Oryzias latipes: one gene and its partners. The protein of the gene in region 1 interacts with the protein of each later gene in a biochemical or structural test. Links are inferred from orthologs where the notes say so. Each region holds a gene or a part of one and is shown on either strand. Other genes may lie near its edges.

Region 1 (3,644 bases):
TCCACAGGAACAAGGAAAAGCCAGCTGAAGGATTTGGGACTGAACTATTGTGTCGCCTCAAGAAAACCGCAGATCAGTAGGCTAACAAAAAAAGAAGTTTCCGTTTTTCAAGTCTGGACTTTGGAGCATTGATAGATCATGTGGTCTGATGCGTCCAGATTTACCGTCTTCCAGAGTGCTGGGGTGAGCTGATGCGGTGTGAACGTAGCAACGGTTTCAGCTCAAAGAACGAAGTCAGTGACGACCTGAAAAAACGGAATCACCAGATTATTCCATCAATGGATTCTTTTCTTTCCCGATAGCACGGAAATACTCCAAGATGACGATGTCAAAATACATCAAGCTGAAATGACAAAGGAATGGTCTATGATGACACAGCATTTTCACTGATTGATCAGAGTCCAATTCTGAACCCTATTTAATATTGAAAGCCTAACTTTAATGTTAGGTTTTTCTGCAGAATTCATTTTTCTATAACGCTTTTATTTTGTAAACAAACTCCCATCAAATGAAATGTCCTTTGATTTGTCATCAGGAAAACTAAAAATTCTATTTCTAAATAAGGACATCCAGGCTAAACTAGTTTTAGTCTTTTATGCAAATCTTTATGCAAATGAAAAATGTTCCCACACAAATGGAAAGTTTGTCTTCAAACTGTTTTACTTTTGCAGATTTACATGCATCCCAAATACATGTGATAATAGGCTTTAAATGTACAATATCTTACAGTGTACTACATGTTTCCGTGATGATACAACTGCAGCAGCTTTGGAAAGTCAGGGCTTGAGGAAACGAACACAAATGACTGTAAAAAAACAAACTTTTCCTTTAGTAACAGGAAGCTGATATGAACTGCTTTTCTCAACAGGCAGCAAAGCAGCCACTGTGTCCGGTTGGTTTCGAAAAAGGCGTTGCTTCTTGCAGAAAGGGATGGAGTTCTTCCCCCTGGAGGCAGTGCATTTGGAAGGTTTCCAGTGTCGACATTCTGTGATGTAACTGGCAGCTTAATCATGACCTTTGTTTTGATGCAGGAGATTGAGGGCCAGGTTTGTTCATGATGAACGTTAATAAGAAAAAAAAGTGTGTTTGGATCCAAATACAAATGGGTTTCTCCCAACTAACCAATGATTCAAGCACTCTGGACTCTTTCTGTGTTTGTATTTTGATAGACCATGTGATTCAGCCTTTCTACTGAGTCGAACTTTCTGTAATCATTTGAATGTGGGTGAGGATTTCTTCCATTAAGCCTATCCTCAACTTCTTACATTAAAACAGATTTTTTCTTTTTTTTTACTTGGAGTCTTTCTCTGCATCCAGAAGGGCAGAGCGGATGCCCAGCTTCTTCAGTTCATCAACTAGATCTCCGTTTTGATGCATCTGGAGCAAGATGTCGCAGCCTCCCACAAACTCCCCCTGGAAGTAGACCTGAGGGATCGTGGGCCAGTTGGAGAAGACTTTGATTCCTGAAAGCAGAGGGAAAACTTAGGAATCCAGAGAGAGTGGACAACTGTTGACCAGCATGGCAATCTAGACTTCAATACTTTTAGAGATGGTATAGATTTGTTTTAATGTATTTTTTGCTGCTTATATATATCCAGCTGTGACAGTTTGTCTTGAAGCACCACACCCTGCTGCAAGACACTGATAACAGATGGATACAAATAAAGGTTGTTTTGAATAGACAATGTTTAGAACCATTTAACCAAGTACCAACAAAGTAAGAATAAAGTACACACTAAAAAAGAACTTTTGAATTTTTTTTGTTTTTTAAAGAATTGGCAACTTTTTTTCAGGGTGTCGGACAGGTTACCGCGCAACACTGACCTTCCCTGAGCTCCTGGTCCTCCAGGACGTTGTAAGCGGCGTAGTCGTCCACCCCGTGCATGCGCAGAATCTGGACCACGGCATTACTGAAGCCACACATTGGCTGTGCCGGCGTGCCTTTAATAAAAACCACCACTTTGTCCTTCTTCACCATGTCACCCAGAGTCTTCTGGACATCCGCCGCCGCACACAGAAACCGGGCCGAGGCCAGGCACGCGCGTCCTTCCGCGGGCCTCGACAAAAAGACCGCTGAACCCGACCGAAGGCACCTGGCTGACAACTTCAACAAACTATTCATGGCTAATTACTTATTTTTGACTGGATAAGTCAAAGCGTCAAATGTACTCTAGCTCTCTGGTGAGACAGAAACTAGTCGGCCACCACTCACTACTAAGTCGTTCCGCTGGATTCCGGCAGTTGATTGGACAGCCCCGCCTTCACAAGTTGAGGCACGTTCTGTCATTGGCGGAGCCATACGTCAATCAATGACGTAGGTCAAAATGACGGACAGTTACGCAAGGAAAACTCTTTAAAAAAACATTTTTAAAGCACAGATAAAACTTTCAGGCTTAAAAATTAATGTCATATCGTTTAAAATAAAAAATGTGATCAATAAAAAGGATATTTGTAGAGCTAGGGAGGGGGGTACTTCCGGGGCAAGTCGCTACAAAGCGGAAGAAAACGAAAATTCTTTGAAAGATGGCGGCGAACACACAAAAAAATAACAAGCCGGGGAAATCTGGAGCCAAAGAGGCTCAGCCTCTAATTATTCCCAAGAACCCGGCAGAGGAGCAACGTTTACGGCTTGAGCGGCTCATGCGGAACCCCGAGAAACCAGCTCCCATTCCGGACAGGCCGAAGGAGTGGAACCCGCGCGCGCCGCCGGAGTTCGTCAGGGACGTGATGGGCTCGAGCGCCGGCGCGGGCAGTGGGGAGTTCCACGTTTACCGCCACTTGCGCCGCAGGGAGTACCAAAGACAGGATTTCCTGGACAAGCTGTCGGAGAAGCAGCAGAAGGACCTGGACTACCTAAAGAAGCTGGAGGAGAACAGGAAGGCGGCGCAGGAACGCACGGAGAAGCGGCGGAAGAAGCGAGAGAAGCTGAAGCAGAAGAAGCTGATGGCGAAAAAAGCCAAAGTGGGGGATCAAGACAAATCGGACACAGCAGAGAAAACGGCGAGCAGCAGTGATGAAGAGGAGGAGGAGGATGAGGCTGAGAAGGAGGATGATGCGGAGGCTCCCAGCTTTATCATGGGAAGAAAATAACAGCAGAACACTGCAGAGCTGTTTGTTTCTGAAGCTGGACTGACCCAGGCTCCCTCTGATGACCCAGTGGACTAAAATACAAATGTTGTCAAAATAACAAACTTTGACATCAGTTTATACATTTGTGATTTTGAGTAAATCAAAATTCTTTCCTGACTGTCAAATTGAACCCACTAAGTTTGAATTTTTTAAATAAAAATGTATTTGCTCAGTTCTCTGTATGCTTTTATTTTGTCATGTTATTCTCTGAGCTGTGCATGACATTAGGGACATATTTTTGCAGTGTTGTGAAGCTGCCCCTGGTGAAACCAGTCGCTTGTGGGCCAAACAAAGCTGCAAAGAGCATCTCAAAGAATGAAAAGGCGTGACCCCTCAAGGGTTGGGGGTTCCACGTGCGATCTTCTTCGGACAAAGTCCTGCTTTCCACGGTGGCGACCGTCCGGCTCAGTGGCCGTCGCTGATCTAGAGGCAGGCAGAGTAAAAGCCAGGCAGATGGATATTGTTTGAGATGAGGAAAGCGTTTCCTTTCAGACACTGTCAGCTGTCACAGTCAC
Region 2 (4,360 bases), on another chromosome or scaffold:
TGTCTGTACCCACTGTTGTGGAATGGGGATGTGAATGTGCTGGGGCCGCACGCGTGTGTGTAAGAGAGAGGAGAGAGCGCGTGCAGTGCAGGAGGGAGTGAGGGGGGGGGGGCAGCGGAAGTGTGTTGGGGGCACGCATTCATGTGTGTTACGGAGGAAGCAGAACGGTAATAAAAGAAGGCTTCCCCCAGCAGAACCGCTATTGACTCTTTATTAACCCGCTCTGGATGATCTGAGGGTCCAATCGGGGAAGTGAACCCTGAAGGAGGATCCGCCTTCGGTCCCCCGCGCTTCTGGCCACGGTCGGAAAAGGGGAAAAAAGTCATCGCGGGAAAGGCTCAACAGCACGCTCGGCCATTTCGCTGGAAACTTTTTCAAAAAACAACCGGTTGCGATAAGAGCCCTTGACTTTGGCCTGAATAGAGCTGTCACCCCAAATATTAATCAAATTGGCGACCTTGCTTCCTTTCCACTGACTGGTCTCAGCAGCATCGTCCGCCATGGTTGATGTTTATGTTCTCGCTCCTGCCTACTTCAACGCAGAATCATGACGTTTGTAGCGTATTGATGACGTATGGGTCGGATACACAAGTGGCCTGGGTCACATTTGAAAAGATTGGATCTGTGTCGTTCAGACTGTCATGAAAAGATCAGATACTGGTCGCATAGGGGCAAAAGTTAAATCAGAATTGGGTCGTTTCAGCCTGCATTGTGAACGTGTAGCCTTTGATGCAGACTCCTTTCTATATTTTTTTAAAATCCAGTAAACCCAATAAAGTATATTAATTTTATAGATGACAACTATTTTTTTGTTAGGAAGCAGCTGTTAGTTTGTTGCGGGTCTGGAATCACAAGCGGTGAATCTAAGACCCGCCCCTCTACCTGTTCACTCCTCTGCAGCTCCAAGTTGCTTTCCCCCGCATGCAACCCCCCCTCCAGCGTGTTCTACACAGACAGCGCAACATACAGTCATCATAGCAGACAGTTGACAGGATAGTAGGGGCGCCTTTACGCAAATTTAATTAATTTCACGTGGAAATGGGTGGTTTTAGCCTAGGAAAAAATTGGCTGGGGGGGGGGGGGGGGGGGGCGCTTCACGTGCCCCCTACATGATTACGACTTTTTAGAAAACCTTTCCCTCTCATGACAGACTCTAGTCCACGTTCATAGCTGCAGACGCGCCCCCTGCGTGCATTCACGCTGCTCTCTTCCTCCTGCCTGCTCGCGCTACCCAACGGTGTTAAAGGCATCACGACATTCTCAGAACATGATAGTTATTTTACAAAACCACAGAGAGCCGCAGCACAGGCATGAAAGAGCTGCATGCGGCCCTGGAGCCGCCGGTTGCTGACCCCTGGTCTAAGTTATATTTTTTTGGAGAAATTAAAGTAAAACCAAATTTTCATTAGTTGCAGAAAACTTTAAAAAGGATGCAAGCTGTATTTTTGGAGAGTTAAAAAGCATAATTAGTTAAAATGTCAAAACTTCTAGAGGTCCTTCATTTCATTTCAGTTCAGTTTAAAAAAAACACAAGAGAATAGAAACTGAATATTAGCGTGTTTTCTTTCTCTTGCTTTACCTGGTTGACCAGCTGATGCTGCTGAACAGTTTTCTTTCCTTGAAATTCACTGGACTCTATGTGGATTTCATACATGGCCCCACAACCACCTATGCACATCACAGGATAAAACAAAAAACAAAAACAAGGTACGACTGAGTTACAGCAATTAATCAATCACAAATTGCATAGTTAATAGAGAGCTGGGTCTAAAAAATATGGTTAATATTGTATTGACCTTTACTTGCTAAATACAATATTGCTAAGTTAAATCCACTTTTGATCTTCTTTTAAAGGTAATTTCAAAAATGTGGGTTAGTCATACTCAGATTTCAGTTTTTAATGTAAAATATTAATTCAACTTTACTGCTTCTCTAATCCTTTGTGCTTAGCTTTGCTTTCTTTCTGCTGTTCTGATTCTGTTAATACCGGAGAAGGATTTACTTTAATCCATGAATGTCTGAAATATGGGGTTTGGGTCATTTTACCTTAAAAGTACGACAAAAGACAAAATTTTAGTATATTTACTCAGGTGTCATTTATTTGTGGGCAAAATAATAATGAATTAAACTTTTCGTATCACATGTCAAATGTCAATAACCATTATTTTAAATGTCTTCTTTTTTTCCTCTCTCCTTTTCAGGATTTTGAACAGGCATAAATGGAGACGCCTACTTGCTTTAGTTCGGAGCTCCACTTGCTGACATAACATCCATTTGAAACTAAAAACTATTATATTTGTTATATAATATATATATATAATGTTAAAAAGAAATAAAAACATTGACAGGTACTTCCAAACAGATCTGCAAATCGTTGTTGCCTAAAGGGTGAAGAGAGACAGGAGACTTTGTTGTCCTATAATAACTTTTAAAAACAGCCAATCACTTTTGTTTACCTGATATATCCGTAACTTTGAGCGATGATGCGGATGGAAACTTCTCCCTCAGTATGTTGGCGATGCGGACCTCTCCGTCTGTTTGCGTTGACAGACATCTTTGCAGCTGCCCGTAGAGAGAAACCTGCAGAACCGTAGACAGGAGTTAGAACGTCAGTCAGTGGGACTTAGCCGATGGGAACACGGTTAGCATGTTGCTACAGACTGATTCTGTAAGGCCATAAAAACTGTTTATACTTGGTTGCCGCAAAGAGCATGGAGAGTAGAGACTGTCCTGCTGCTACAGAAACGTGCCAGCATGGCTAGAATAGAGTGACCCTTTAGTTACGCCACACAAAAAACAGCTTCGGTCACTAAAGTCATGTCCTAGAGACGATTCTGAAGCCGAGATGTGACGTCAAACATCCGGGTACTGCCCCTGCACTGTCGTTCATCGATTTCCCCCCAGTTATACTGAAAATAATATTCATACAAACTTGTTACCTTAAAAGAATAAAGTTTTTATTGTTGCTGTTATATATTTAAATAGGAAGACTAAATGTAAAGAAAACAGTGACTAGATAAAGAAATAGAAACTCAGATGGTTTGATAAGACTAAAACCAAATGTGTTGCTTAATTAAATCAAGTTATTGGGTCATTTATCCAGCCTAGAATAAAAGGAGAGACATATATTTCTCTGTAAAAATAAATAAATAAATAAAAATTATTACTGAAGACTATGACGCTTTTTAAATAGGAAAATAAATTGATTGAGTCTATAAGGCCAATCAGGAATTTTGGTCTTTGTAATTAACGTTTAAATAATTTTTAAAAATACTTTATGAAATGACTTACAGTATTTTCATCTTTTAATGCCCACGTCTTGCATCTTTTAACAATTACGTTTGGGTGTTTAGTGTGCTGTTACTGAACATGGAATTAGAAAAACATTTCTCAAAATTCATTATCAACACTTCAAACTATTTTTTAAAGCTGTTACTGTAACATGTCACTTTTGTAGTGAGTCACTCCCAACACCTTTCCCTATGAATGTTTTCCATTTTTATTGGTACAAGATTTAGGCCAAGAAGCATTGTGACATTCAAGAAAAATAACTTCTAAACACATATTTTCGTTCATTTGTTCGTTCATTTGTTCGTTCGTTCGTTCGTGAGTGACTGAGTGACTGAGTGACTGAGTGAGTGAGAATATAGTTTTTCCACAATATATTACATATTTTCAATGTGACTGTCACACAAAGGAAAACTTTATAAAAACAAAATCCTCCAGGTGCACAGTAACTGCCAGATTGATGAGTTACGGAATTTTTGATTTGGAAGCCAGAGGCAAAAAAACTATTGGTACAATCCAAACAAACAAAACAAAACACTTCACCAAACAAATCAAACTTGTGACCGTGTAGCATGACAACTCTTCACTACAGCCCTTTTGAGTTACAACACATCGGTGATGGCAGATAGGGATCTGGCCTTGGCCCTGTATTGGATAAATGTAAAAAAACAGATGAAAACAAAATAAATATGCTAAACGAATACTGTCTTATAAAAGAAACAGCTGAACAATTTTAAAATAAATGCCTTAGAAGGGAACCACACTGATATTTATGTTTGACGGAAATTATTCATTCATTCATATTCCAATCTGTTTGTTCCCTTTCGGGGTCCCTGGGCTGCCAGAGCCTGTCCTGGCCACTTGCGGGCGAAGGCAGGAGACATCCAGGACAGGTCACCAGTCTGTCAGAGGGCCACATATCACACACCAGTGCACAGTCACACTCACACCTATGGACAATTTAGAGCAGGGGTGTCAAACTCATTTCACCGAGGGCCACATCAGCATAGTGGTTGTCCTCAAAGGGCCAGATATAAGTTATACATGTAACTAAATGTAATGAAAAATAAAT
Region 3 (4,001 bases), on another chromosome or scaffold:
GTTCTGGTCACATAGCTGAAATGTTCTGTATCACTGTGCTGGCTTCTTTAAAACAAACTTTAGCTTCTTCATCTGAACAAAAACAAGTGGTTAGAGGTGAACGTTTTCTCTGAACTGATGTTTTATTTGACCCGTCGTGACGATCAGCATAGATATTGCTAACAAATAGTCCAACTTTTGTGAAAACAGCGATCCAAACCGAACAAACAAGAATAAAGTACTAAAAACTGAAAATCTGGTTAGAATCCTGGGACCTTCTTTGTGTGTGGAGTTTGCATCTTCTCCCCATGCATGCGGGACATTTCTCCAGGAACTTTGCTTCCCCTCACCGTCCAGAAGCGTGTTTCATAGGTCAAGTAATTGGTTACTCCAAGGTGTGAGTGGGAGTAGTTGTGTGCCCTGTGACAGACTGACACCCCATGACCCCAAAATGGATATAAAAAATGGATGGTTGGAAGGAAATGATGAACTCACCATTCTCAACATTTTCCTGTGTTGGAAAAATGTAGTTTTTTTTTTTTTTAATAATTGAAAGCATTTTTACGATTTTTTGTTTTTAATAGAAATTAAGTTCCGTTACATTGATACAAATGATCAATAAAGTTTTTCAAAACAGCTTTTGAATTTGTTATAATGTCATCTTTTATTTACATTCACAGTCCTTGTTGGTGACACACACACTGCATCCCACTCATCGCTACATGAACTGTCACTCTCGGCCGGCCTTCAGCTTCTCCTCCACTGTGTGGTCGCCCCTCGAACCCCCCATGCATGCCGGACTCTTTGCCAGGGCGGGGCTGCTCTCCCACTGCTCAGGAGTCTTTGCCTGGATGGCCAGAGCGTGCACGCGGCTGCTGAGCTCCTCCTTCAGGGCATCGTTAACCAGGCGGTGGCGCTGAATCAGAGGCAGGCCCTGGAACTGAGAGCTGACCACCAGAACGCGGAAATGGGATTCGGATCCCGGAGGAACGGCGTGCATGTGGCTTTCGTTGTGGATCTCCAAGTGGTCGGGTTTGAGGGCCTCGGTCAGTTTGGTCCGGATGGCCCGCTCCACAGGGCGGCTGGGGTCAGGGTCCATGTGCGGCCTGACGTGAGCCAAAGGCCGGGCTGCGGAGAGGCGGACTGAGGCGGGCCGGGCGGAACGCAGGACACAGGGGAGCATCGGGGCGGGACACCACCTGGTGGAGGAGTTACAGCAGAGCTCCGTCAGGCCACGATGGTAAATGAGATCAGGAGGCAAATACCTTTAACCAACTTTAAATCATCAATGTAGCTTTTATTTTAAAAAAAGAAAGAAAGAAAAAATGATCAAATTTGTCTAAATCAGGTAGATGAACTGTGATTTAAATATATATATAATTGGTTATTTATTTAAATATTTTTACACAAAAAAAAACAGTTCAAAAGAAAAGGAGTTTTAGAAGAGAAATAAAGAATAGTAAACATGGCTGGAGAATAAGTTTGATCAATTATAATTACTATTTTTCTTCAAAAGTATTTACTTAATAAAAGGAGTACTTATCTAAAAATATATGTTAAAAAAAATATTGTTTTATGAAGAAAAACTTTTCTTAAAAGCCAAATTCATTTCATATAGAAGAAAACTAATCTGCTGATTTAATTTTTCAGCTCAAGCTGTGTTTTATTTAAGAAATAATATTTGCTTAGTTTAGATATAAAGATTTGGTAAAAGTTTAGTTTCAAAGTTTTCTTAAAATAAAGGAAGGAAATAAAACGCAAAGACAAAACAGAAAAAAGGTGAAACAAACTGGAATTTGGAGCAAAACTTTGTAAAACAAAACAGATAACTTTAAAACTATTAACTTAGAATTTAACTTAAAACTTAAAATTAAGTCTGTCTTTCTATCTTATCTTCCTTAACCACACACTGAGAAATGTTTATATTTACTATACATTTTTTTTTTATCTCAGAGATGTAAACACTAACAGTTATTATGGTTATTCGACTAAGCTGAAAAATGATCTGCAGTCTTGTTTTTATTTTCCGCTTTCCTGGATGTTTCAGTTTCAAAATTTAAAACCTTTTTGTTGTTTAAAAAACAAATATAATCGTTTAAAGCATCGATCGCGGGTGAGTTTTATCAAAAACATCGATGTAAAATAGTGACAATAACTACAAAACACGAGGGCGCCAGTTTTTCTAAGGTGAGGTCATTTTGGGGGCACTGGAGCCTTAAACTCTGTTATTTTAGAGAATTATGAACGTATATACATCAAAAGCGCAACAATAGTTGCATTTAAACCGGTAAAGAAAAGCGAATTACCTTTAGACGAAGACTCCGGTCGTCTGTTAGCATGAGCTGCTAGCTTAATTTAAAACAAACCCTACGTTACGTAATGGTGTCAAAACAGAAAACAACTTCTTTACTCCTCAAACTTTAAACGCAATTCTATTATAAACATAACCGTAGATGACATCTGATCATTTTAAAATGTAATTTTATTACAAATCGTGGAGTTATTTACCTCTACAGCCTTCTTCTTTTATTGATGGTTAGCGTACCGATAACCTTTCTGCCGACTACCGCCATCTGTCGAATAGGGGTGGAACTGCAGCATACCAAGAGGCCGACACCGAGTTTTCCTGTTTACGTTAGGCATTTCAAATATTTAATTTTTTCTTACAAACTAACAAAATTATATTGAATTTTATGGAGAATAAAATGTGTTAAATGTTTGTTTCGACTGTAACAGATTCAGGTATATGGTTGCGTGGTTTTCTATGTACATGATTAATGTGAGAGTCCTATTTAAGCAGCTTACACCAGGGAAGGATGACAGACTTCAGATCATCTTTTTTGACGCATGTTGAGGCAATCCAATGTAAACGAGTTTGTTACTTTCACATCTGTAAAATAAACTGATCTTAAAGGCCCATAGACCTGCACACTTCTGGACTGGGTTACCCCATCACAGCCCCAGTTGTCGGGGTTTTGACATCTATAACCACAACCTTCTTCTCCTTCTTGTCCATCACTATGATGTCCAGTTTGTCAGGGATTCACATTTTGTCTGTCTGTCCCACAGGAAATCCCAATTAGATGCTAAAATGTTTTGATTTCTTTCACCAAATCATAACTATTAGCATCAAACATATTTCCAGTGAGGTTCTGCAGAAAAACAAGTTATGAGCCTCAGAATTCATAATTCTTCTTAGCTCATAAATAAGAAAATATTATTAAAAGAAGTCTATTATTTCTGTTGGCAGTGGATGATCTTTTGTGTAACAAAACAAAAACAATTTTAGTAATTTTTTTACTACAACAAAATAATACTTTTTTTGTTTTATCTTAGATTTCGTGTTGTTTTTTACATGACTACCGTAGTTAATTTCCTGTTTGCTTGAACTTTTTCTGTTTGTGTTCTGTGGAAAGTTTCTTATCTTTGAATTCATTTCTCTTGGCTGCCTTCTGGTACGCAGTCAGTACAATGAGTGGTTTAAAAAAGGCTGCAAAAGGCTTATTGGTTTTGCAACTAGCAGTTTTAGTAATTACTGAAAAAATAAAAAATGTTATACTTGAATTTAGAATAGAATAGGGCATTTATATCTAATCTTAACAGAAATTATAGGCTACTTCTTGGATGTTTTCATTTTGATTCAGTGATGTTTGTTTCCCCAACAAAGATCCGGTTTTGTTTGTTGTTTTTGACCCATTCCAGCCCCCCTAAGAAAAGACCTGAATGCAGGGCCGGCCCTGGTCTTCCGGGGGCCCTAAGCGAAATTTAATTTGTGGGCCCTCTAACTGATCAGCAGCACCAACAAACCGTAATGAGTTTTTTTCTTGGTAATGTTAGAGAGCAGATTGTCTTGATATTTAATGCCCCAGCCGTGGAACGGCGTTGTGACGTTCTCCTCGCTGAGTGGAGGGTGAATTGTTAAGCAATGTACGGAACTGACGGTGGTTCATTTCCATCAGCCACCTGCCTAACGCTGCCCTGCTGGTAGAAACGTGTGTCGCAGGCTATGAATGTTGAAATTT

Evidence for each region.
Region 2: the proteins of glrx5 (region 1) and bola3 form a complex in vitro, tested with the Homo sapiens proteins (4 studies listed by BioGRID and IntAct, with this or other methods). The link is inferred for Oryzias latipes from reciprocal best matches to the Homo sapiens genes GLRX5 and BOLA3.
Region 3: the proteins of glrx5 (region 1) and bola1 form a complex in vitro, tested with the Homo sapiens proteins (2 studies listed by BioGRID). The link is inferred for Oryzias latipes from reciprocal best matches to the Homo sapiens genes GLRX5 and BOLA1.

Annotation. Positions count from the first base shown.
Region 1 is NC_019882.2:12,959,720-12,963,363, reverse strand, and holds glrx5 (glutaredoxin-related protein 5, mitochondrial), read right to left. Parts: upstream 2,259-3,644; 5' UTR 2,123-2,258; coding exon 1,825-2,122; intron 1,747-1,824; exon of another isoform or gene 1,464-1,746; coding exon 1,291-1,463; 3' UTR 638-1,290; downstream 1-637. Other genes in the region: prkrip1 (PRKR-interacting protein 1), read left to right, coding at 2,524-3,090.
Region 2 is NC_019861.2:20,370,003-20,374,362, forward strand, and holds the start of bola3 (bolA-like protein 3), read right to left. Parts: upstream 2,871-4,360; 5' UTR 2,757-2,870; coding exon 2,694-2,756; intron 2,581-2,693; coding exon 2,457-2,580; intron 1,669-2,456; coding exon 1,580-1,668; intron 1-1,579. UniProt on the Homo sapiens protein: Acts as a mitochondrial iron-sulfur (Fe-S) cluster assembly factor that facilitates (Fe-S) cluster insertion into a subset of mitochondrial proteins. Probably acts together with NFU1.
Region 3 is NC_019874.2:29,251,687-29,255,687, reverse strand, and holds bola1 (bolA-like protein 1), read right to left. Parts: upstream 2,591-4,001; 5' UTR 2,488-2,590; exon of another isoform or gene 2,286-2,487; intron 1,179-2,285; 5' UTR 1,163-1,178; coding exon 710-1,162; 3' UTR 538-709; downstream 1-537. UniProt on the Homo sapiens protein: Acts as a mitochondrial iron-sulfur (Fe-S) cluster assembly factor that facilitates (Fe-S) cluster insertion into a subset of mitochondrial proteins. Probably acts together with the monothiol glutaredoxin GLRX5. May protect cells against oxidative stress.